Lytechinus pictus: one gene and its partner. The protein of the gene in region 2 purifies or fractionates together with the protein of the main gene of each other region. This does not show direct contact. Links are inferred from orthologs where the notes say so. Each region holds a gene or a part of one and is shown on either strand. Other genes may lie near its edges. The genes, in order: pseudouridylate synthase TRUB2, mitochondrial-like; RCC1-like G exchanging factor-like protein.

What was found.
Region 1: the proteins of RCC1-like G exchanging factor-like protein (region 2) and pseudouridylate synthase TRUB2, mitochondrial-like purify together in Homo sapiens (affinity purification with mass spectrometry; 3 studies listed by BioGRID and IntAct, with this or other methods). This does not show direct contact. The link is inferred for Lytechinus pictus from reciprocal best matches to the Homo sapiens genes RCC1L and TRUB2.

What each region holds. Positions count from the first base shown.
Region 1 is NC_087259.1:6,026,435-6,039,424, reverse strand, and holds the start of pseudouridylate synthase TRUB2, mitochondrial-like, read right to left. Parts: upstream 5,849-12,990; 5' UTR 5,801-5,848; intron 3,451-5,800; 5' UTR 3,438-3,450; coding exon 3,311-3,437; intron 2,488-3,310; coding exon 2,275-2,487; intron 1,005-2,274; coding exon 861-1,004; intron 1-860. UniProt on the Homo sapiens protein: Minor enzyme contributing to the isomerization of uridine to pseudouridine (pseudouridylation) of specific mitochondrial mRNAs (mt-mRNAs) such as COXI and COXIII mt-mRNAs.
Region 2 is NC_087245.1:39,114,961-39,127,603, forward strand, and holds the start of RCC1-like G exchanging factor-like protein, read right to left. Parts: upstream 5,106-12,643; 5' UTR 5,030-5,105; coding exon 4,975-5,029; intron 3,690-4,974; coding exon 3,561-3,689; intron 2,373-3,560; coding exon 2,306-2,372; intron 1-2,305. UniProt on the Homo sapiens protein: Guanine nucleotide exchange factor (GEF) for mitochondrial dynamin-related GTPase OPA1. Activates OPA1, by exchanging bound GDP for free GTP, and drives OPA1 and MFN1-dependent mitochondrial fusion. Plays an essential role in mitochondrial ribosome biogenesis.

The DNA of each region.
Region 1 (12,990 bases), on a different chromosome or scaffold from region 2:
GTGGAATGAAGATGGAATAAGAAGATATCATGTACAGGAGAGGGGGAGAGACGGAGAGATACAAAGAAAGTGAGGGAGAGATAGAGAGAGAGAGGTGATGTTAACGTGTACCTCTTCTTAAAACTCTTATAGTGCCATTATCATTTGTCATAACACATGAATGAAGCACTGGAATTTGGAAGAGACTTAGACAGAATAGCACTCAGTAGATAATCTTGTAAGTATAACAAAAAGGCGACTTAGATTAAACCTTTTTATAGACAAGAGATGTTGCCACCTCAGCAAATCCTGAATACGGTAATACTATAGATCCATTTGTATAGCGCATTTACTATATGCATAAATCATACTCCGCCCCAGCTGTACCTGAGCAGCCATATAGGCGGCACCTTTAAAAATATGTTCATAGACCAGATGAAGAATTCATCATTCCCAGAATTCCCATGACAAAAAGGAAGCAACTCTGATTTTCTTAAAAATTGACCTTTTTCTTGATTTAAGATATTTTTTGTATGCTCTCTATGTATAATGCTAAACGAATTGGAGTCACACTGCTCCTAATTTCTGAAATATAGATGTTTCGAAATTCTACATATTTAGACCAAAAAAAAAAAAAAGATGATATATTTCCTCATTTACTAAGAAACCCTTTCCACAGAGTTGCTTCCTTTTGTCATGGGACGGCAGTGTAATTGTCAAGGGTAAGAGTAACCACAAATGAAAATAGCTGAAATAGCACAAGCTAAAAAAATTGAACTATAACACCCCCGACATGTTCTATTTCTCCAGTCAGTGTAAATAAGCAAGAACATTCTTGCATTAGGACATAAGATCGGTTCTCGAATCTCTCAGAAACTCACTATATGTTGTCTTCTGCCAAATCTTGCCTTCACTGTCGTGTGTGTCCGTTGCCACCCCAAAGCGCCCTCTTACGGTGTACTGCCGCGGTAATCTCGCTGCTTGGTACTGATTGACGAGCTTCCTTCCATCCCGTACAGCCAAGACTAAACTCAAAATAAGGGAAGAAAACACTTATTTTGGCAAGAGATGCAACAGTAATGCTGGATGCCAATACAGTTCCATATTTCACATCTTTAACCATGTTTTTATGTTTAAGTTATTTTTTTGTAATAAGTTGGCCTGTCACAAGGTATCTTCCTCTCTTTGCCACTTCCCTCCTCATTTTCTATGACTTATTTGATGTACATTGTGATTTTATACATTGTTATTCATTGTTTATTTTATGTATTATGTATTTTATCTGATCTCATGAGGAGAAATAAACTAAACTTGAAACTTGAATAATCTTGCATAAAAGATTAGTAAATCGGACATCAAGTTCCTATGCATAATTGTGCCGGTTTAATGACAAAACAATTGCTCTTTATTTGTGACATACTTTGGTGTTTGATGCCGATTACAATTTTCTTGAACCAGCTCCTCTGGTCTTTTGCATTGTAATCAAGAAATGGACTCTAAGAGCATAAATTACCTCAAGGAAAATAAACACCATTACCGAACCATCCTCAGTTGTGAACAAAACGCTTTGGGAGAATTAACTTGAGACCTTCCCTGCATTGACACTTAGTATGCTCAACCATATCAAAGCTTTTAGTCTTTTGGAACAATGGAAATGGGTGAAAATTATGCCCAGTCCCCCCATTCCCAAATGCATGTTTGTTCAAAATATTTTCTAGATACCCTGTATGTTCATACATCAATTGCCTTTTTGAAAATTTAGTGTGTTTTCCTTTTTTGTAAAGAATATTGTGAAAATTTCCTGTAGAAAAAAATATGACATTGCTGGATTTCCATAAAGTTGAGATCGATCGGATCAATCGTAACTCTTTGTAAGATGGGGCCCTGATACAAATCCTGCTAGGAAAGACGTTATGTGCATGCATCTTCACATTCACAGAGGGTTTCCTGCATTCCCCATCGTTTTTTTTTTCTGTGATGAAGTGTGAGGGTTAGCAATGAAAATACACTCCCAGGATTCCTGCATGAAAGATGCGGCTCTGACTTCTGGTAAAAAGCCTAAGAAAGAGTTTTAAGAATCCGAATACCTCAGGTCAGGCAAAAATTAATTTCTTTTTCATTTTCGGGGAGCTACATTTCACAACCAATCGCCTAAATCTGAAACATGGGATAGGCTTAAACACTGCAATGAAGGGAGAATTTCAGGAACCCTTAAAAAAAAAATTTCCAGGGCAAAATCCCCCCAAGCCCCCGTGTAATTTTTTCCCTGCTTCAGGTAATTCGCTGTCTACTTACCCATAACACCACACGCCTTGGTGTCCAGTCCCAAGGACACCACGGAAACAGCAATGTCCCTGTAGGCCGGTCCCCTCACCATAGGATGATCTGTGTAGCTGGGTACCTCCACAGCCTTCAAGGCACCAGGGTTGGCGGCAGTCAACCGGGCATCGGTCTCCGGGACAATCTTCACCAGCGTGTTCTGCGGTCGCTGCTTCAGCGCATTCAGCTCTGTACATTTGTGAGGGATGGCGAAAAGACTTGTGAAAATAGCAACTGAAGGAGTCCCAGTACCAGTGAGCAATGGGTTAATAATCAAGAAAAATAAATGACATCCACAAAGAGTGTGCAAAGAGTCTGAGTAATGTAGTCTGGTCAGGATTCATATTTGCACAAAGCATCAATGATGTAAAGAACCTAAGAATATGGTGTAACCGGATTTCTGATGCAGGCAGTGTTCCAGAGTGGTTTTACCGGGTCCACATTGTCGAAATGTTAATTTGATAGGGCTTATAATAGTTTGAAACAAAAAATATTGATGATAAATAGCACTTATGTAGCCCCATTTATTTCTGAAAACACATTCAATTACGTCACAGACTGTTCACAGTTGCTGGAAAAGAGAGGTCTTCAGTTCAGATTTACAGACCTGTCTCAAAGTTGTTACAATGACGAAGTTATAATAATAATATGTCCATTTATATAGCGCAGTTACTACGTGCATATACTCAACTGCGCTTTGATACATGGTATCATATTATTACCCCGGCTGTAGCCGAGCTGCCATATTAATAGGCGCTAAAGGGTTCGAGGAAAAATCCTACCGGGTACCCATTCACCTCATCTGGGTCAAGTGCAGCACAGTGTGGATAAATTTCTTGCCGAAGGAAATTACGCCATGGCTGGGATTCGAACCCACGACCCTCTGTTTCAAAGTCCGGAGACTAATCCACTGGGCCAAAACGCTCCACATATATATGAAGTTATATTGATTTTGTTTAACATTCTCATCTATGACTAATTTTCTTCATGATACAGTGACTGTTTTTTTTACCTTGTAGGAGAGTAGACTTCACAATATGTTTGACTTTCTGAGTTGATAGTCCTTCTGGTTTGTAGACTGCGAACAAACCACTCAAAGATCGCCACGCCTTGCGAGCTACCTTGAAATCAGCCATCATCCGTACCTTATTCCTTTGTTGAAAAAAGAAAAGAAGGAAAGAAATACAACTAAATATATATGAATATGTAATAAGATATCTAAAATGCATTTTTTTGCATCATATTATCATATGGCGGGGTAAACTTGTTACTTAATGACTGTCCCTTTTTTAATATCTCTTATTGATTTTCATCAGAAATATGGGGGGGGGGAAGAAAATTACCAGAAGAAAAAACTTAAGGAAGGAAATACATAGTTTAAAGATCAACCAGCAAAGCTTTCCATAGATCCAAGTCCTGCTATGCTCTTGCACTCTTGAGTCTGAGTTAAGGCTTCGCATAAGCTAGACCAAAAGCTTCGGTCTATGTTATGTTGGTTGTTCAGCTGAACTCCGTTGGCTTCACTCACCAAATACAGAGACCGAAGTTCTAGCGCGATCTGTACAGGGGACTAATGGCCATATGTTTATGTGTATTAAGTTTGGATAAAACAGGGCAGTGAAGTTGCGCGACAGCCGAGGTAAGTCACTGTTTTTGTTCCTTTTAACTTGATTTTCCCCGTGTTTTGGCAATTAAAGCCAAGAGGGAATATTAATTTCCATTTCGGTCGCTTTAATTTTCATAAGTTTGATTCATTAAAGACAAAAATTGAAGAGCCCCGACGGGGGGATTTTGCATTGTAAGTCCCCTAATGGTGGCTGCACGATAGCGAGCCGTCTGTTTACGAGGAGAAATTAAAAAAAATAAAAAATGTTTAAAAACTCCTCGAAACAGACTGCTGCCAGCTGTCTACGCATAAGCATACTAATCTAAGGTGCAGTTGCTTTATACACTGTCATGATGACACATATTTAAATCTTGCTCTTGAAGGTTACACATAAATCATTTCTTTCAGTTATAAATTAATAAGAATTTAATATTCATTCCATGGAAGTTAGATCCAAGAAATTAAACTTATAGCAATATACTAGATCTACACCAGAAAAGTTAGACCCATTCACTGCAACCATCCTGCCTGTGGAGTGTGGGGAATCTACAGGTAGGACTATGGTATGCCATTGCAGCACACAACACACACTTGTCTTTAGAAAATCATTTATAGAACACTTTTGTGACCAAAAATACTAATTTCCACTGTTGCAATTTATTTTTCATTGTAACTTGGGAATAATTTTATTAGTATTCACCAGAGCACTCAAAAACTTGAATTTTGGGCATATATTTGTATACGCCCTCTATTGGTGGAAAGTAATATGGCAAGAAAATTTTCATTTTTCAATCTCTATTTTCAATTTAGAAAAAATAATTAAAAGTAATTAATTAAAAGAATCAAATTTACTTAAGAGCCAAGTTATATGATGATTAGCTGTAATGGAATCTGACATGACAGTGTAAAAAAATCAAGCGTTTGTTCCAAAGACTAAGAGAAGATAAGCCAAACATAATTGGCTTGCCAACCTTTTTTTCCTGACATGGACTGATGGAGTACTAACAAAGAACAAGGTTATATCATAACCTTGTTCATTGAATGAGTGGACCTGTCTTGATTTTACTTCTCAAATTTGATATAAATTAGCACTTATGGTTGTTAACTATGTTCTGTACAGACTATCCTATGTAAAAAAAAAAACTGTTACACAAAGGAGCAAGTCCCTCAATCACATTTCAAGGTTAATATGCCTACCGCTTTTCCGAAATATTGCGATCGGGAACCGCTGTATATCGGCTTCCTTCTCGACCTCATCGTTCAAGAGTTCAGCTCAGAGTCAGACATCGATTTGCTTCGCCATAATTTTGATATGGTCTGAAGAAGTTAGCGACCAATTTAGATCATAAAAACATGTGGCAAACAAACTGCCGCTGGCAAATCTTTTGGCCGCTAAATTCAGTCCATATCAACATTACGGCGAAGCCAAGCAAAATGTCAGACTGAGAATTATCAATTATGAATTAATTAGGACAGGTGTCGAGATCGGAGCCGAAAATACAGTCGTTCCAGATCGCATTATTTGGAAAAACAGTGGGTATATTGTTCGTTGACCTCGAAATGTGACTGACAGACTTGCCATGACATTTGTGAACAATTCCTGCAGACCTGGTGGGGAAATTTGCTCGAAATCGGCAGGTGCAGTGCGAAACTGCGCCGAAAGGTTAACTTTAACGTTACACAGAATCCAGTACCTCGGACTGAGCTCATTTCCCGGCATTGCAATAACACAATCAAAAACAAATTTATTCTTTTTTTTAGATCTAAGGGCGTATAAAATCAAATATATTCACTCAAATTCGGCCGTCGTATATCAAACATAATAATTTTTATTGAAATCAACGATTTAATTCCATATTTACACATTCTAGGCAAAATATAAAGTAATTAACTCACCTCAAACAAAGTGGGGTTTCTGCTGAACTTGTCGACTAATTATACCAGAAATTAAAGTATGGTATCGCCTAGACAGGAATAACCGTCGTTTCTGGGGATTTATTCAACAATTTCTGACATTTTACTGTAATTGGAGCCAACGTAGTTCAGCGGAACAACCAAAATACAGAGACTGAAGCTTTTGGTCTAGGTATCGCCCCCCTCCATGAAAGAAATTTCGCCGATATATTTACCCGAGATTCTTAAAGGACAAGTCCACCCCAACAAAAAAATGATTTGAATAAAAAGAGAAAAATCTAAAAAACATAACAATGAAAATTTCATCAAAATCGGATGTAAAATAAGAAAGTTATGACATTTTAAAGTTTCGCTTGATTTCTCAAAACAGGGGACCGTTTCATCAACATTTTTGTCTGACAAGTTGTCAGATCTGACATCTTTCCTTGATTCTGATTGGCTGAGAGGCACTGTTACTATAAGTAACTGTCGGATCAAATGGGACTTGTCAGATAAAACGTCCGACAAGTCCTTTCATGAAACGCTCCCCAGTTCTATTCACATCCAGGGGGGCGTTTCGTGAAAGGACTTGTCGGACGTTTTATCCGACAAGTCCCATTTTATCCGACAGTTACCATAGTAACAGTACCTCTCAGCCAATCAACATCAGAGAAAGATGTCAGATCTGACAACTTGTCGGATGAAAATGTTGATGAAACACTCCCCTGGTCTGGGAGACTGATGACGTCATCCACTCACTATTTCTTTTGTATTTTATTATATGAAATACGAAATATTCTAATTTTCTCCTCATTGTCAAGTGAAACAATGATTAATTCCTCTCTGAACATGTGTAGATAGCATTGTTTTATGCTATATGGTTCAGTCAAGTTGGTCCTTATTGTCAAATCTGTAAAAAATGAAAAATTGTGTAATTCAAACAATAAAAAACAAAAGAAATAGTGAGTGATGGACATCATCGACTGACTCACCTAGTTGTGCATATCACTGTTTTGTGAAAATTAAGCAAAACTTTAAAATGCTATAACTTTCTTATTTTACATTCGATTTTGATGAAATTTTCAGCATTATGCTAGTTTGATTTTTCTTTATTTATTCATATCAACATTTTTCTGGGGTGGACTTGACCTTTAAAGAGTGCAGTGAATCCGAGCAGCAGTCAGCATTTCTGTACCACTGTCACCCTTAGTGGCGTATCTGGGGGGGGGGGAAAGGTGCAGGGGGGCACGTGCCCCGGGTACCACTTTCAGGGGGACGCAAAAATGAAAAGGTAAAAAAAAGGAGAATAGGCAAAGTAAAAAAAAAGCGCAAAAAGGAACATTAAGGAAAAAAAATGTTTAAAATACTAGTCAATTTGCATGTTTCAATTCAGTTCTGCACTTCTGCATAATCTGCTACTTCGCCTATACTTGCAGAATTTAATTTCTCGCATCCAAAATGAATTGACAATTTATGGCTTTCAATTAGTGAGTAAAATCACATTGATCGATCTGATAATGTCAGAAAAATCCAGGGCTCAACCAGGATTTGAACCTCTTATCCACTGATTGCCAGCGGCGTAACAGGGATCGGTGGCCAGGGGGGGGGGGGGGCGAGAGACAAAAATTTCCCGGTCATATCATGGTATATGAACAGGCGTAATGGTGTAATGAGGCGACTATTTTGAGAAGGCCAGATATTGCGTATCGGGCAGAATTTATCTTTGAAAACAAGTTGCGAGCGAGCGAAGCGAGCGCGCAAGAATTTGACCTTTTTAATACAAAAATTCAATTTTGTGATAGATTTTGACATAATATCCAGAAAATAATATATTTCAGTCTTTTCTCTTTAGATTCCTTTTTTGTGGTCTGTACGCCACTGTGAACAGTATTCTTTGCGGCAGGAGTGTGAAGAGTAAAAACAAACAAAAAACAAAACAAAAAGCGAGGGGCGCAGTATAGCACATGTGCTAACATGCTGCTTTATATAAGTCCCGAGCGAGCGAAGCGGGCGAAAAAAAAATCACCTTTTCATGAGAATCTAACTTTGAGATATTTTTTAAACATCATATTCAGTAAATAAAATCATATCCTATACAATTCTCCTTTGCTTTTCTTTCCTCCTTTTTTGTCCTTGTTTGTAGAACTTTTTTGGGCCATGGCCCAACCCTTCCATACGCAGTGCTGTGTGGTTGGGGTCCGGGGCGGAGCCCCCGGAACTGCTTGATATCAAAGTCATTTAAACCTCGCAGATTGCCGCTATTTTAATCAAATCGCGGACATATACAGAATATAGCTAATTACACAACACTTTATTTATTCAACCCAGTTGCGTAATGAACCAAATATTTTGAGGGGGCAAAACATAGCAATGTGGGAAAAATTTGTAAAAAGTCGCCAGCGTGTAAAGCGAGCTGGAAAAAATTGCCTATTGAAATTAAATTCTAATTATGTTATGATTTTTCCATTATATTCAGCAAATTACACATTTCATTGTTTCCATTCATTTCATTATACGTTGTCTCCTATAATTTCCTCTTGGGTGTGGAAGACCCCCCCCCCCCCGCGCCTGTATGCCACTGCCAGTAATTGAACGTGATTGAAAGGGGGCGTTATAGCTTATTTGCATAATAGCAAGCTTATAGCACAATGTTGTATGCAGTCCATCTTTCTTCCCGCTCTTTATAATTTCAATCATCGGCAGCCCGGTCGTGTTATTATTTTTTTTCTTGTCCCTTTTCTTTGTGTTCCAATTAAGCTTTTGATTAATAATATTCTGACTTCGTTTCCCGCTATTGTTTGCCATTTTGTCATCTTTTAATGTATTTCCCACCGTGTTATTGCATTACAGAGGCCTATTTCGGAATGATTTGTTCTTTCTCAAATGTTTTTCTTTCGTACATTTTCCCGCTTTCCTTCCTTTTCCATTTAAAAACAATGTTTTTAGTCTTCGTTTTCTTTTCCCTTTTCCCTTTCCCTTTCCCTTTCCTTCTCCTCCTTTCCTTTTCCCCTTTCCTTCCCCTTTCCCTTTTTTCTCCCTTCTTTTCCCCGTTTTTCTTTTATTTTCCCGGTGAAATCCGCCAGGGGGGGGGGGGCAGCTTGCCCCCCGCCCCCGCCTGTTACGCCACTGCTGATTGCTGGTCAGTGACTGTATGTAGGCCCTACCAACAGGCCATCACTGGTCCATGGCACAGTCAGTTACGATATTTGAAATAAGAATCAAGTTTTCAGGTCGGAATATTCAAAATTTTTAGCTCGCGCTTTTCGCGCTCGTTTTTTTTTTGATTTGTGAGTTATAGGCCCATCCCTTTCATGAGTCACTGCAAACAATTTTCAGCTCACGCTTGACGCTTGCATCAATAATACCTAGGCTATCCTATTTCGCTGAGCTACAACCCGTCCAATAAGTTCTAAGTTTGGGCCTACTTCTATATAGCTATCAGATCCATGCATTCAAGAGTTTCCCGCCGGGTTTCCCAATGATTTTTTTTATTGTTGCTCCCCCAAATAGCTATCATTCAAGTAGACTTTTTTGCTGATTTTTCCCCCTTTATTTATTTTTTTATTTTTTTTAAATTATAATTATTTTAATTATAATTATTGTAATTATTATTGTTATTATTATTTTTTTTCAAAGGTCATGGATAAAAAATGGGGAAGAGGGGGGGGGGGGGGGGAATTATATGCACGAAAATGAAAAATTAATCAACGACACCGTTGTCCTGGGTTACTTGTTTCGACGTTGTGTTGTGGGCGTTGTGGCGTGCGCCTGTAATCCAAGCTATGTGGGGAAGTTACAAATTGATGCAGAGGTTCGAGCCCTGGTCACGTCTTTCGGATGGTGACGTTAAAGGTCGGTCCCAGACGTAAATAATCATTTCTGATTGATACACGTCTGACAAAACTCAAATACACACACACAGACGGAATTTATTCTATAACTTCAGACTGTTTGCATGTGCGAACGCGAAAGTAAACCGTTTTTTAACGAGTTTGACCTTGACTTCACTAAGCCAACAATAAACTACAAATTATACTACAGACATGATCAAAAGAGGACCCACGCGTATTGTACTGAAGTTGGAAGATCTCGAGGAATTCGATAACATTAAAAAGGAGCTGGAACAAAAAAGAAGAGTGGAACAAGTTGTGGGCTTGAGCCCAACTGAAAAGAACGGACAGGCAGGCACATCCAACGGGGCAGCGGCCCACCAAGAAACTGTAGTTCCCGCTGGCGAGGTTGTTGACGCGAAGACCCGCGATGAAAGGATTCGTGCACGGATTGGATTCGATCCCAGACCTGTTCCATCTACTTCAAGTCGAATTGGAGAATTTAGAGGTGGCGAGTGACTCTACTAATTAGTAAGCTGCTTGTTTGTTGAGTATATATTTCCATGATAATATTAGAAATGTCATTAATCATGTTAATTATTAATATTAATCAATCGACTGTCTACCGTAAATTCGTATGCAGTCAAACAAAGTCAACAATTCAAACTAGTCTCTGGCCTAGTAAGAAGTGCCACTGGCACTGACACTGCTAGATAGCCTAGACTAGAGACCTTTCTAACGTTATAAATTATTTGCCATTGCATTGCATGTCTTTCAATTCAATTAAGTTCATTTTGTAGACAGGAAGAACCGTCGTTTCTGGGGATTTATTTAACAATTTCTGACATTTACTATCATCCCCATTGGAGCCAACGCAGTTCAGCGGAACAACCAAAATAGAATAGAAAGACTGAAGCTTTTGGTCTATTCATTTTGTAGAAAGACCTTAAGTTAACGCTAATGTCTTTCAGAAATTATTAAATTCAAATAATTAAGTTTATAGATCAATAATGAAAAGTTCATTAAGATGATAATGATATTTGATGGTGATTTATGATGATAGATCTAATTAATAATGACAAACATGAAATGCCTTTTAAATGTTATGATCAGCGACATAATCAGAGTCTAATGAATCAATAGACATGGATTGCACTGTTTCACATTAACAAGGGGGGGGGGGGGCAGTTTGGCTTTGCCACTGTACGGTAGTTACATGATTTTTAACTCCAAAGTTACATTTGATTTGGAAATACATACATTGCCACTCCATCTTGCTTTATCATCATGTTGCTAGTACTTTCATTTGTGATTTCATTTTTATTGTGGTCGTATTCTGTTAATGTGAGACACCGAATAAACTGTTGTAATTTTGTTTGTATCTTGTATTATTTTCCAGGGAACATGCAGCAGCATAATTTGGATTTCAGAAGCAACCTGGATCGTGCTGGTTGGATGCTGAGAACAGATGTTCATGCGGGATTATGAAATACATACAGGACATGTCCAGCAAGATCATGAACATGTCCAAATTTGCCATTCTCCTGCCAGCAGTATGCCCAATTCTGGCAGTGCTACCTGATGTTTGAGTCTTGGACAAGTGTTGACATCAGATCCATGGTCTATGATGGATCTTGATGTACATGGTTGAGATGCCGAACTGAGTTTGAACACGTGTACCGATTTGTAGAGCCTCAATTAAAACATGTTTCTATCTGAAAGGACGCTCACCATTCAAGTATATAAAGCAGATACGAACCAATAGCGCCATCTCGAGTCCTCATCTACTCATACATGGCTAGTTTCCTGACCAATAATGCTAGTGTAGTCTAGACCCACTTAAATGATAACATGCTCATTAATTACTCAATACATTTATATACCGCAATAATTATGTTAACAAGTAGCAAAACAATTTCTTATCATCTCAAAACATTTTAGTTTCTCTATACGAATACAATTATAGGTCAATTTATTCTCTTTAGTATTAGTAGATATCTGAAAACATATATTTTAAGACTATGTATTTATATCACACAGTCAATGAGAGACCACACACAGTTCACTCTCACTTGAAGTTGATCCTTATTTCCACTGATACTAAGAAGAAGAAGCTGCTTATGTCATGTTCACAGATTTCACCCCTAAAATCAGGTTGGAGAATATAGAGGTGCAATTAACCATGTTAAGGATGAACTCTTGTGGATGACCTTCATGACCATGCATCTCCAGAATTATTTTGATATAAAACAAATCTCAAAAGAGACAAGATGATGGGTGATTCAGTCATACTTCTGTTGAGCTCGTAGCAAAAAAGTCAACACTTATAGTGGTAGAATTTAACTAAATTCTTAAATGTAAATTGATACCATTTAACATTAACATTTTTAGCTTAATATTCATGACTTTGTGGAAAATATCTAAGTGGGTTGATTGGATAAAGAAGTGTGAAACTACTTGTACATCATTTTTGGGATGTATTGTTGACGACTTAATATTTTTCCTAAATATTTCCTGTATGAGATTTAGATTTTAAATTCATCAGGTTCAATGGACCCACTTGCTCTAAAATTCCAAAGCTATCATTTTATGCTTTATTTTCTTTAATAATTTCATAGAAATCGTTCTTTCATGATACAGTTGAGACAGCAATTTAAGTCAACATTCTAGTCAAACGTTCAGGTGGAGGGGGAGGGGGGTGTTTCACAGGAAGAGTAAGTGTGACTTATACCTTGGTCACATTTGCTCTACGGCGGCCGTACGGCGAGTCGAAAACAGCTATTTTCACATTTTATGTACGAGCTACATAGAGGTGGTTTGTACAAAATTAATAAAACGGCTGTTTTCGACTCGCCGTACGGCCGCCGTAGAGTAAATGTGACCATGGTATTAGAGTCATGCTTCAACGTCAATGCGCACATTTTATGTTATTTAACGCGTAATCTGAGTGATGGATATGCAGTAGTGCGCCCCCTGTGCGCATGATCTGACCAATGCAGTGATACGTTATATAATGCATGTCGCACGCAACTGAAATTTAAGTGCGACCCCAAGTCACACTTAAATCTTTGTGAACCACCACCTGGTCTAAAAAAAAAGCGTCAACTTGGTTAAATGTTTTACAGTTTATAGAAGGTTGATTTGGGCAAGTATTCTAGATCATGCTCAAAGGGGATGTTTACCCTGACAATAAGTTGGTTTTGATGAAAGAAGAAAAAATTGAGAGAAATGTAGTCAAAGTTTTGATGAGAATCCATAAAATCTAAGAAAGTCATAAATCTTGAAGTTTCTATTTTATGACGTCATATACAGGCAGCTTCCCCATATATCATGTAATGTAAATTCCATGAATTCCAATCTTGT
Region 2 (12,643 bases):
GATTTTTGTCATTATATTCAAATCAACTGTTTGTTGCGGTGGACTTGTCCTTTAATCAAAGATATGACACAATAAAAAGGTGAAGAGCATACAAATTAATAAATTTATGATCATCATCATTTTCATAATTTGATATTGATCATTCATGATAACTATTGACAATGTTAAAATTGTTATACACTAAATAAATTGTATTAGGGGGCTGTTTCTAAAAGCTGCACATTAATTCTTTGCCCACTTTGTTCAACTAGTACAGCAGACTGCCAAGTTCGACACAAGTCACATTCGATTCACAATGCACACAGAGTGCATTAAGTCTGTTGTTCGTACACACATACACAAAAGTGGTGTGTTCATCGCAGTGTACACACAAATCTTTTACTAATAGACCGATCAAAAGCTATTGTGAGCTGAATTAGCACAGCTCACGCAAAACCCCGCCAGGGTTACACCTTGAAATTAATGTGGCGCAGGAATGATTCTGTCTGTGGCGGGCAAAGAGTTATCTCTTTGCCCGCCACAGACAGAATCATTCCTGCAGACAGAATCATAACAAAATATTCTACAGTGGCTAGAATATGGAAAGCCATAGGGGTTCTCAATCATTCTTACATTAGTTGAAGTTATATAGATGTTGAAGATTCTTACAGCTAGTGTATGTTCTGTCACAATTAAAATGGAATGATGTGAAATTCAGTGAAATCTGTATAATATACTTCACTTCATAAGGGAGAAATGTAAACCCTTAAAAAATTCTGAGTTTGGCCATTAATTTCTCCCAACTCCAAATTTTACACAATGCAAATTTGATATCATTCAAAAGATCATTTAATATTCTTTAAAATGATACCATACTTGTTATGATCATGCCATCACAAAAAGAGCAGGATTCAAAAGTGTTGGATGAGGTCTGAATTGAAAAGCAGCAAAACGAGTAGAAATGGTTATGAAGGGTCAATAAAGAACATGATTCTTTTGTCTGTGTCAATAAAGATGAAAATCCATTCAAATCAAGCCCCTACTTCTTCATTTTTTATGTTTAGTTGTGGTTTATGTTGTGATGGTTCTGTGAGATAACATGGTTTGAGTCATGGTTTGAGATACCCATGCACATTTGATTGTTATGTGTTTCCTTGTGCCATGTGTGCAGAGGTGTGTTTGATTCCATGTTAATGCTGATGTTAAGGTGCATGAAAACAAAAGAAACCGCTGAGAAACTTGCTCATCACCACAGAAAAAAGAACAGTGACTTTCAATATTGTATAATTTTGCAACTTTTGAATTTTGACCTTGCCCCACATTTCAAGGCACTGCACCTTCGTGTGAACCATAATCATATCATGTATCATTTTAAAGAAAATTAAATGATCTATATGCAACACATGAATATTCACTAAAATCGAGGAGGGGTTATCGATCAAAGTCAGATTTCCAAAAAAAATTTGAGGAGTTTATATATAAGCAGGTGGTCTTTATACAAAGGTTCATTTAATACATGTTTCACTGCAGAGTACTACCAGTATTCTAGGAATACCAAACTTGCGGTCTTTAAAGGGATGGTCCGGGCTGAAAATATTCATATCTCAATAAATAGAGTAAAATTCACAGAGCAGAATGCTAAAAATTTCATCAAAATCGGATAACAATAAAGAAGTTATTGAATTATAATTTCTTTCAATATTTTGTGAAAGCAGTTATATGCACATCGTCATGAATATTCATTAGGTAGGCTGATGATGTCACATCCCCACTTTCCTTTTTCTCATGTTATTACATGAAATCATAAATGTTTCATTTTTCATACATGTGTAAATGATGTGTCTCCATTATGATGAAATAAGTGCGGCAATAAATAACTATTAATGCACTTAATCAGTTGTCAATCCAATTGTTTTAGTTCTTGGTAGAAAAATTTTGAATAAACCTAATTTCATATAATAAAATACAAAAGAACAAGTGGGGATATGACATCATCAGCCCACCTAATGAATATTCATAAAGACATGCCTAGAAATGTTTCACGGGAATAACGCAAATCTTTAAAATTCTATAACTTTGTTATTTGTCATCCAATTTTGATCAAATTTTCAGCATTTTGCTCTGTGAATTTTACTCTATTTTTTGAGATATAAATATTTTCAGCCTGGACCATTCCTTTAAAGAGAAGTGGTCCTTGTATAACAGATGAAAGCGGGTGTGACTCTGTATTCAAATTTTATATTTGGCATTTCTTATGCCAGTCATTCATTAAACTGTTTGTAACTAAAGATCAGCTTTATGAAACACATGTGATGTTAGCGTTTACCTATAATCTTCATGGGGTATAATGGGCCTTCCACACTGACCATGAGAATTATTGCCAAGACTGTATACTGCAAATAGAAAAGGAAAGTCAATCCAAATAAAAACACAAGTGCTAAAACCATGATCACTTGACAATGCATTGAAATTTGCAAAATAACAAAATCATATGTTCTTCTTTATTTCCAACATACTATATTGTCCTTATGCTATTCTTCGGAAATCTTTATTCATGTACTGACAACCTTCTTCATCCGTGAAGATAAGCAAATGATATCTCCCACATAAACATAAGTTTCATAAAGCTGTTTGTAAGTTATACGCATGGCTTTTACATGAGACTGATGACCCTTTCTTGTACTTAGGCTATGGCGCAGTCACGTTTCCCCTATGGCGGCCGTATTGCGAGTAAAAAACAGCCATTTTAACATTTTTTGTATCAGCTACATATACGTGGTTTGAATAAAAATGATTATATGACACCTGGATAGATCCTTGTCCTTTGATTGGTTGTTTGATGTTGATCATTCAGGCCATTTTACAATGACGTCATCATCCATGCAATTTTGGATCCATACGACTTTTCCATTGAACGCGCGTGCAACACTGACCACTGGCAGTGGCCTACACGTAAACTTTTCGGTCTTATAGTAAGTGTGTTTGTATGTATGCGGCAATCAACAGACCGCATTCGCACTGAATTCAAATTTATAAATGCCAAATGACAAGGATCTATTTTAGGTGCAATATAAAACAATGAATTTATTCATGCAATGGACAGAATACTTCATGAGGTGAAAGATAAAATGAATGATCAATTTCATCTTATTTCATCTTTCACCTCATAAAGTATTCTGTCCATTGCATGAATGAATATTCATTATTTGTATAGTAAAACAGCTGTGTTCGACTAGCCATACGGCCGCCTTGGGGGAAATGTCACTGAAGCATTAATAATATTAATATATCCCCATGCCCGGGGGGGGGGGGGGGGCACTCACATATATTGGTGGTAAGGGGACCTGCCGCTTTGATGACCACCTTTTTCAGACCTAATTTTCAGTTCTCTTGATACCCCAAGACCCCATACTTTACCCATTTAGTCAGTTCCTTAGACCCCCATTTCAAATTTCAGATTTTTCGTGAGGCACACACCCCCAGCAAAAATAACTTTGAGTGCCCCCCCTTGGGTCCCTATGTAGCTGACCTAGCACCTAAGATCATATGCATTACGTGAAATTATTTATTTCTGTACTTACCACCTTCTTCATCTGTAAGTATAAGGGAGTGAGATCTACCACAGGATACCTGAGAAACTCTGGTCTTCCGTGGCTTCTTCAGAGGTAATGTGATTTCAGTTGGTGATATGATGGTATGCATTCCCTCAACTAGCAAATAAGCAGGTGCAACAAAAAAAGAGAATAATAAAAATAATCCGCTTTTATATAGCGCTTAATACATCGGAACAACGTGTCTAAGCGCTTTACATATATATTACCCCGGTCATCGGATTCAATCGGTCATTCCCGTACACAATGTATGCACATCCTCCACTCCTTGGGGAGTATTCCAGTCAGTCACCAGTGAAGCGCACACAGTACTGGACAAGCTACAGTGACTTTCTCATCCTACCGGGTACCCATTTAGCACCTGGGTCGAGAGCGGCAAAGTGTGGATTAATGCCTTGCCAAAGGATGCCAAGCTGCGGTGGGATTCAAACACTTGACACGGAATACAAATTTAGAGGGCAGAAAAGAGTTGGCCCAAGTAGGAAACAGTAGTTAATCACTAGTAAATACTAGCTCAAAAATTACATGTACAAGGAAAATGGGAAATGCATGGATATACTATAAAATATGCCTCTTGAATATTTTCATGTATTTTCAGGTACTCCATGTACATCTTTAATGAGTACTTCCAAGCATTTACAAGTTTTTCCCCAGTATTTCCCACCTGGGCGGGAAATGTATAAATCACTGGGAAACTGCCATACCTGGGGCTGAAATTCAAAGATAATTTCATGTAACAGTTTCATTTCAATTGGCTATCCATACTATAGTTAAACCGCAACTTTTAGATCATAGTTTAAATTAAAGTTAAAACTGTATTCAGAATATGGGCTAATGCAGACTTGCCAACCTTCTACAACCAAAAAAAGTATTCTTATAAGGAAAAAAGGTATTTTTTGACAAAAAAAGAGTATTTTTAAAAATTTGTCTCAACGTAACAATCGCCAGCCTGTTGTAGTGAGATCGGTGAAAAAACATATGAAATGACTCTACTTGAAAAATTCTTCATAATTCTTCTTCCAGTCTGGTACAGTCCGCCACTGGCGTATTATCGTACCTCCCTTTCACCCAATAAACATGTGCTCATAGGCAAGGATTAACTTGTTCTTTTCAGGCAACAAGTTACTGGCCTGACAGTGATTTTTACCTGGTCTGGGACTGTCGAACCGGCGCTAGTGTCACACGCTGTGTATAATACATACTCCATGATCAGAAATTTTGAAAAAAAGTAACAAATCATACAAAAAAGGTATTGGTGTATTTATAGCAACAAAAAAAAGGAACAAATACTCTAAAAAGGGAACGGTTGGCATGTCTGCTAATGTCATCATGCGAAAATATTGGATAACTCCCCATTTCTGAATAGTTTTATTTTTCTTCTTACCACTTGTCATAGCTTTGGGATGATATCCAATCTGCGAGTTTGTATTGATGCCCATACCCCAGACCTTACTGGTGTCCTGTGTATGGCTGCCAATCAGTGAAAACCCATACCCACAAGATGCTGTTGTGATCTGCCCAAGAGAGGAAAAAGATGACGTTAAAAAAAAATCAAATACGCAAAAGTCCATTGCGATGAGATAAATTACAATATAATACTCCACAAGAAATGTGAAACAATTCTAGATTGGCAGAGAATAATTTGCCTATCTACATGTAATTTGATCAGTATTTCTGGTCAAAATACAAAAGCTCTCAACAACGTTCTGTAGTCCTGTGGGAAAAAAAATCTGCTACACAAATATTTTTTTCTGTTAATCTTTAAAACATGTGGAGCACATTGATTCCAATGTGATAACTGGGAAAATCATTCCCTGATTGGTGGAATTTGGTTCATAAGAAGCAAGCTGCAGGTCCTTTTCACTGACAAGTGTCAATTGTGGCGGAGCATGGAGGCATAAAGATAAGATCATTCATATACATATATTTTTTCATATTCAAAGTAACTCTAAACCAAAATGTATATTATTATAAAACAATATAAAATAGACATGAGTAGTAATTGTAATATTTTGTGTTGTTTCATAAAGTTTTAGAAAGGTAAGATCCCATGACATAAGACATTTGCTCCAGACACTTGCTCGTACACATAAAACCAAATCCTAACCGTAAACCTAACCCTAATCATGATCCTGATCCTAATATAATCCTGGGGGCTGTCTCATAAAGCTGTTCAACAGTGTTCGTAAGTTAAGAGCGACTTTAAGAACGACTGGTGAACATTTCTTACACGCTAAACCATCGCCAATAAATATACCATTTACCACAAGAAAGGATCACCAGTCGTTCTTAAAGTTGCTCTTAACTTACGAACAGCTTTTTGAAACACCCACCTGAACCCCAAACCCTTCAAAAGCCAAAATCAAGAACCTTGTGTCTTCTGATATATTAAAACAGATAAAAATATACAAATTTTGGGGTCCATCTTACAAAGAGCTGCCATATAACAATAAATTTGAATCAAACCTGAATTGCTGCAATTGATCTAAATTAATTTGTGTAATTAAGTGATAGGATTTTTAGATCTATCACACTTTGAGTTTGATTTAAACCTACAGGGCAATTCCATAAAATATGTATATATGTGGGACTTTCATGAAATTCTCTGTCTCTGATTTCTTGTTCTTTTGATAGTATGTAATGCTCTCAAATGACCATGACAATGGTCAGTCTATGAAGTGAAGTAAAACTTGAGAAAAATGGGGGTCGGACGTACAAAAAGGTTGATTATTTTATGGAAGTGCCCTACATGTACCTATCACAACTCTCTGTAAGACAAAGCCCCAATGAGTATTTCATAAAGCTGTTCGTAAGTTACGAGTGACTTTACATGTATGATCAACTGGTGATCCTTTCTTGTGTTAAGTTAATTGAATACACACCAGGGGGTGTTTCACAAAGATTTAAGATTGATTTAGAGTCGCACTTAAATACCGAGTTGCGTACAGTATAAAAGGCTTGACCGCATGGGTCAGATCGTGTCATGAGGACGCGCACTACTGCGTATCTGATATGATTTTGTAAGTCGCCCTGCGTGGCTGACATGGTTTTTTGTGCTCTCTGAGCTGTGTATGATTTCTACTGTTTACATGTATTGTTTCTCATTAATAATTGTACCAGATAGGTTTGTTATTTGCAAGGATACTTGTAGCCAAATTTGCAACTGTATCTTGCTTGTATTGATGAGATATTACTGGATGTTCTTGTACATGGTTTTGATTTGAGCTTGTAAATCTGTAAGCCATTTTGTACATGTGTATTATATGTCCAGCTATCACCATTCAAGGTCGCTGAACTTGAACGGACAGTTTCTATCTATTGAATGCCTGCATTTGAAGCACAATGGAGCCATTGACACTGTGCCTATTCACTCTCACTGTGCTTTTCAAGTTTTTTCAAGTGTCAACTGCAAGTCTACCTTGTGAAATTGAATACAATACAGGACACCCAACTAAGGAGATTCACTGTAAGTACTCAAAACTTCGAGTATCTTATTACTACAATTCGTCTGCAACATTTCAGCTCAAGATACTTCAGTCTGGCGATGTTAGTCCTAATCCTGGACCAACTAGTGAATACATAACCAGATGTCGTAGTGTTCCTATTCAGTGGAACTCCGACGGAACTAGAGAGCGTATTAAGTACGACAGGTCGATTTTGCTACGAAGCAATCCTGCGTGGGCCCATTTGAATCCAATGACTTTATTATGATTGTAATCCCAACGATGATGGCAATGACAAGAATGGTGATAATAATTATAATGTTGATATAATGATGATGGTATAATGATCGTAATTGATCACGAGAATATTTATTACGACAAGATTGGTGATTATGGTAGCAATAATAGTGATGATCAGAGGATAATATTTTGCTGTGGGGGACAATAATGATGCACCCTATGAACAAAGGATATATCCTCTGCTCCGCCGCCCGCGGTGATGATTAATGTTTTATGATGATGACGGTGATAATGACAGTGATGAAGGTGCTGAGATTAATTATGATAATAATCCTAGTTTTGATGATTACAATGATTATGATTATGATTATGGCGATTGTGATGGAACGACAGTGGGGGAAGGGGCATGTTTGTCGAGATTGAATTTCATTTGAAAATTAAAGGTAGGTCCTAGACTGAACAGTTTCATGAGTGTTTCTCACCAAGGCGAACTTCTACTTCAAGCTAATTACGGAGCTGCAACTCTCTTCAGTTGGTTCGAGATTCGACCCATGAACCTCATATACAGAGAACGAATGATCAATAACCAGGTAACATAATTGTATACGATGTCAATTAAGGACAAATTTTTCTCCTTATGTCTATTTATCGTATGGTTGACATCACAATGAGGCAAAATTTGATTGCATGGTGACTTCTTAAAAAAATCCTAAGTTTGGGATTTTTAAGGGGAAGGTAACACTTATGCTGGATTTTCCCCAACAAATATGATTTTTGAAACTTGTAAGAATGATGGTTGAGTGAACAGGAATTTTAAATTTAGTGTAGCCTATTCATCTTGTAGACCTAAGCAGTGTGTTTTGTGAGTCGGAGTAATGTGATGGTACCTGTTACAAGCGAGATATGGTAAGACTTGGTTGAAAGGGCATTCATCATCTTTTTGTCATTTTACAAATAAAATTCTTATGTATCTCCACCCCCCCCTCAATTTTCCAGACCCCTCTCACTTCCTGGATGGTAGCCTCCCGGGGGTAGCCTTTTCAAAACTTATTTGCCACTGAAGTGACCGGTGGCTGATAGTCATTTTTTTTCTTTCTTTTTATTGAATGATTACCAAGAAATTGACTTGATTATAATTTATGAAATACTTTATTGAAAAACTGAATGTTTGATTGATTACATTGCCCATTGAAATAGTTGATTTATTGATAAATTGTTGATAGGAAAAAGTTGATGCCCCAATTATCATTATAATTAAATTAACATTCTGCTCTGGACTTCACGCGTACATGACAATAAAAATCAGTCACTCAACAGAAGGGGAGTGCGAGAGAGAGGGAGGGGGGCTAAAATGTTATGTTGACCCTTTTTCCATCAACCTACTTATCCCACTTACGTCCAATCTCACCCCCTATTTTCCTGACTCCAATGAACACATTGCTGAGAGCCACATGATAATGTTGAAATGTTGCCCAAGATGTGTAATTTTTGTTCAATTTAATAATTCATAAAACTTGCTTAAACATTCCTAACTGGTTGATCAATAATTTATCACAACGCCCATAACATTGCAAGTTCCAAAGCCAAATAATTTGCCCCTCAAAAACTGACAAAAAATGGAAGGCTAATTCCAGCCCAGCATAATTTTCATACCCTTTGTTTCAATAGGCAGTGTTCGCTCAAACGTGATAGTATCTCTAAACATGGGGTATGGTTTTATGCTGGAAAATCCCTAAACATGCATGGCCCCAATTTTTAGATACTTGCTTTTAGATACATGGGTTCATGCCCCCAATTTTTAGATATTGGCCTTAAACATGGGTCCATATCCGGGGTCCATATTCTCAAATTTGGGGTGATAAACTTTTTGGTCAAGTTTTAAGCCCTTATTATGCATATCAATTCCTTTTATAGGAAAAGCGCTCCTCACAATTTCCGTATATTTGGCACCGGCCGTTTGGTACCGCCTTGACTGAACTGTGCGAAGTGTGTGTGGTCTGTGTGTAGAGATAGACCGAGCCTTCAGCACTATTTCTTGGGGGTGCATAAATTGCCATAATTAGGTTTATTGTGACATAATAAAATTAATCACTGTAATCAATTAATCACTGGGGGAAAAGGATGTACTTCTCTTCACAAAATGAAGAGAAGTACACGAAGGGAAATTTTGTACTTTTTGCATGTCATTGGACGGATGAAGACCCTCATTAAAGTATTGCATACGGGTGGAAGTGCTTGTGCATAGCCTATTTTGTGTTTGTAAATGGTATTCCGTTCTATAGTCTGAATTCTTAACCTTATATCAACTCTTTTCTCTCTTTTGGGGATTTTGTAGATTAGCATCTATCCTGTATTAAATAAACTTGAACTTGATTTTGATAATAGTGACCTGAATGTTTTCATAATTTTATATGGCCAACCTCTCCTTCCGGCCCTACCGTTCTATTATGTTTCTTCCTCCCATTACAGATCCTCTTCCTCTTTTTCACCCTCCATCTCGAGTAATCACTTTCTTCCTTTCTCACTGACAATATGGAAGGGGTGCAGCTCCGATCGCCTCCTTACATCGAGAGGTACACATCGACAGGGCAAAAAAAAAAATCCTTTTAATGGAGACCACCCTGCTGATGTCCACGTTTAATGAAGTGCATATACTTTCACAGTATTGACATTTCAGAAACTTTTTAACATTTGCTAAGATTTGACGTACACGAGATGACACTCAAAACTTCTTTTCTAAAATCGTGTACCATTATTTGATAACTCGGTGTAAATACCAATAAATCATGTAATGGACCTCGACACTCTTCATGTAGTCAGCATGTTCGATTGATACACGTTTGTAAAAAGTAAAACACACACATTAATTATATAATTGATTTTTTTTTTTTTCTCATGTCTTAAAGGTAAAATAGACCTATGGTTTTATCATAAAGACCAGCTGCCATTAACAAATTTAATAAATATCATCCCGTGTCTTTTCTTTGATCATGTAATGTTTAGAAACATTGCTGCTGCATAATTAGTGTGATTCATTTTTGTTTTGTCAAAATTATCTCATCGGCGATTCCGTTCAAAATGCCCTATAATGGGACAGAGAGTTACATGTATATTTGTATTTTACGTGCATTAAAGCCACCGACAAGCTATGAATCGGCTTGGAGAAGACATGCACGCAACTGATCTATAACCATGGACCTACTAGTACACAGCAGTAACATACAGACAATGAGGCATTCAGCATGTTCAGGGTTTCACATTCACATTGAAACGGATTTTTCCTATTGTTAGCTGCTTTGTGATTTTCACACCTTCATCCATTGTTCTCAAAACGTGCTAGACGGCGTAATTGACCAAATTCAGGTTCAAGGGGTGTTTATAGCTATATAGGGTCGTTGACTTCAACCAAGGACCTATAGATGTACAGTGCAGGCACATTATGGCCCACTCTAGACCGTTGCATGAAATCACCCGAAATATCTTAAATATTCATTAATGCATAATGAGGGCGCGAAATCTGATAGTATGGCCTGAAATCTGGACATTTCAAGCACCTTTGTAACTATAAATATGATGCATATATTTAACCATTAATGCGAACGCGAACCGTGAGCCAATTTTTTTGATAAACTGTCATGAAAAGGGGATTTCAAGTAGTTTGTTGTATAATCAATATTGAGACATACATAAATCGCCAATCAAAATGCGAGCGTGCAGCGCTAGCTGAGGCGCGATAGCTCAGTCGTAGAGCGGGGGTTTCGGATTCCGGTGAACCGGGTTCGATTCCCAAGTGGTGCGCGAGTGCCCTTTGGTAAGGCATTTATCCTCATTACCAGGTCCCTCGGAGAGGACCTTAAGCCGTTGGTCCCCTGATTGCTTGCTCACAGGCATTCGTGCTTTCTTAGCAGTCACGTAAAACATACTCGGTATAACCTGATACGATTTGACAATCAGACCCGAAAAGGGATATTTAGAAAATGTATGGAATGCACGAGAATGATAGGTACCAATCAAAATTCGCGAGCGCGCAGCACGAACAGAAAATATTAATATTCAGACCATAAAACTGACATGTTTACAGAGCACTTTTAAAAAATCAGTTTGTAAATCACACAAAATAATGAAGTTCAATTTCCGAGGTGAAATGTGTTTTGTAAATTAACTTCCAAACTTGATACCTAAACTCATTGAACAAGATATGAAAATCACCTAACAGGCAATGCTGCAAGGGCAAAGCGCGAGCGAAAATTGTATAGTGACATGAAAGATTTTTTTTCCCAAGTCTTTCCCTCATCTTATTTTATTCACTCGTCTTCCTCTACTTTATTCTCCTCTCTTTTCCCTCCTCTTTTCCCTTTTTTCTATCTTTTTTTTGCTCGACCAAGAGGGGGGGGGGGTCCCTCGCCCCCCGATCCGCCTATGCTTTGTGGAAAACAAGGTATCATAACGAAATGCATATAGAATATATTTTAACCTGTTGTCAACTTCAAACAATCTTAAAAGATGTCCTGATAGATCGCAAATATGAAAGGCTACCAACTTCTATTTTGTCTTATTGACGTTTCCAACTTTGTCGAGAAAATGCATCTTTGATATTATTTTCTTAACGGAGAACAATTAAGGGATCATAACGAAAGGCATATCAAATCTATTTTGTCTTGTTGACCCCTAACAACAATTTTAAAACATGTCCTGATAGATCGCACACCAATCTGAGATGTTTGTGACTTCCATTCTGTTTTATTTACGTTTCCAACATCGTCGAGAAAAGACGTATTTAATATTTCTTAACGGAGAACAAGGGATCATAACGAAAGGTATATCAAATCTATTTTAACTTGTTGACCCCTCGAAAAATTTTCAATCATGCCCTGATAGATCGCACACCCATCTGAGATGTTTGTGACTTCTATTTTGTTTTATCTACGTTTCCAACTTTGTCGAGAAAATGCATCTTTCATATTTCTTAACGGATAACAGGGGATCATAACGAAAGGTATATCAAATATATTTTAACTTGTTGACACCTAAAAACAATTTTAAAACATGTCGTGATAGATCGCTCACTATTCTGAGATGTTTGTGACTTCTATTCTGTTTTATTTACGTTTCCAACATCGTCGAGAAAAGACGTATTTAATATTTCTTAACGGACAACAAGGGATCAAAACGAAAGGTATATCAAATATATTTTAACTTGTTGACCCCTCGAAAAATATGTATCACCAATAAATATGAGATGCTACCAACTTCTATTTTATTTTATCTACATTTCCAACTTTGTCGAGAAAATGCATCTTTAATATTTCTTTACGGAGAACAGGGGATCATAACGAAAGGTATATCAAATCTATTTTAACTTGTTGACCC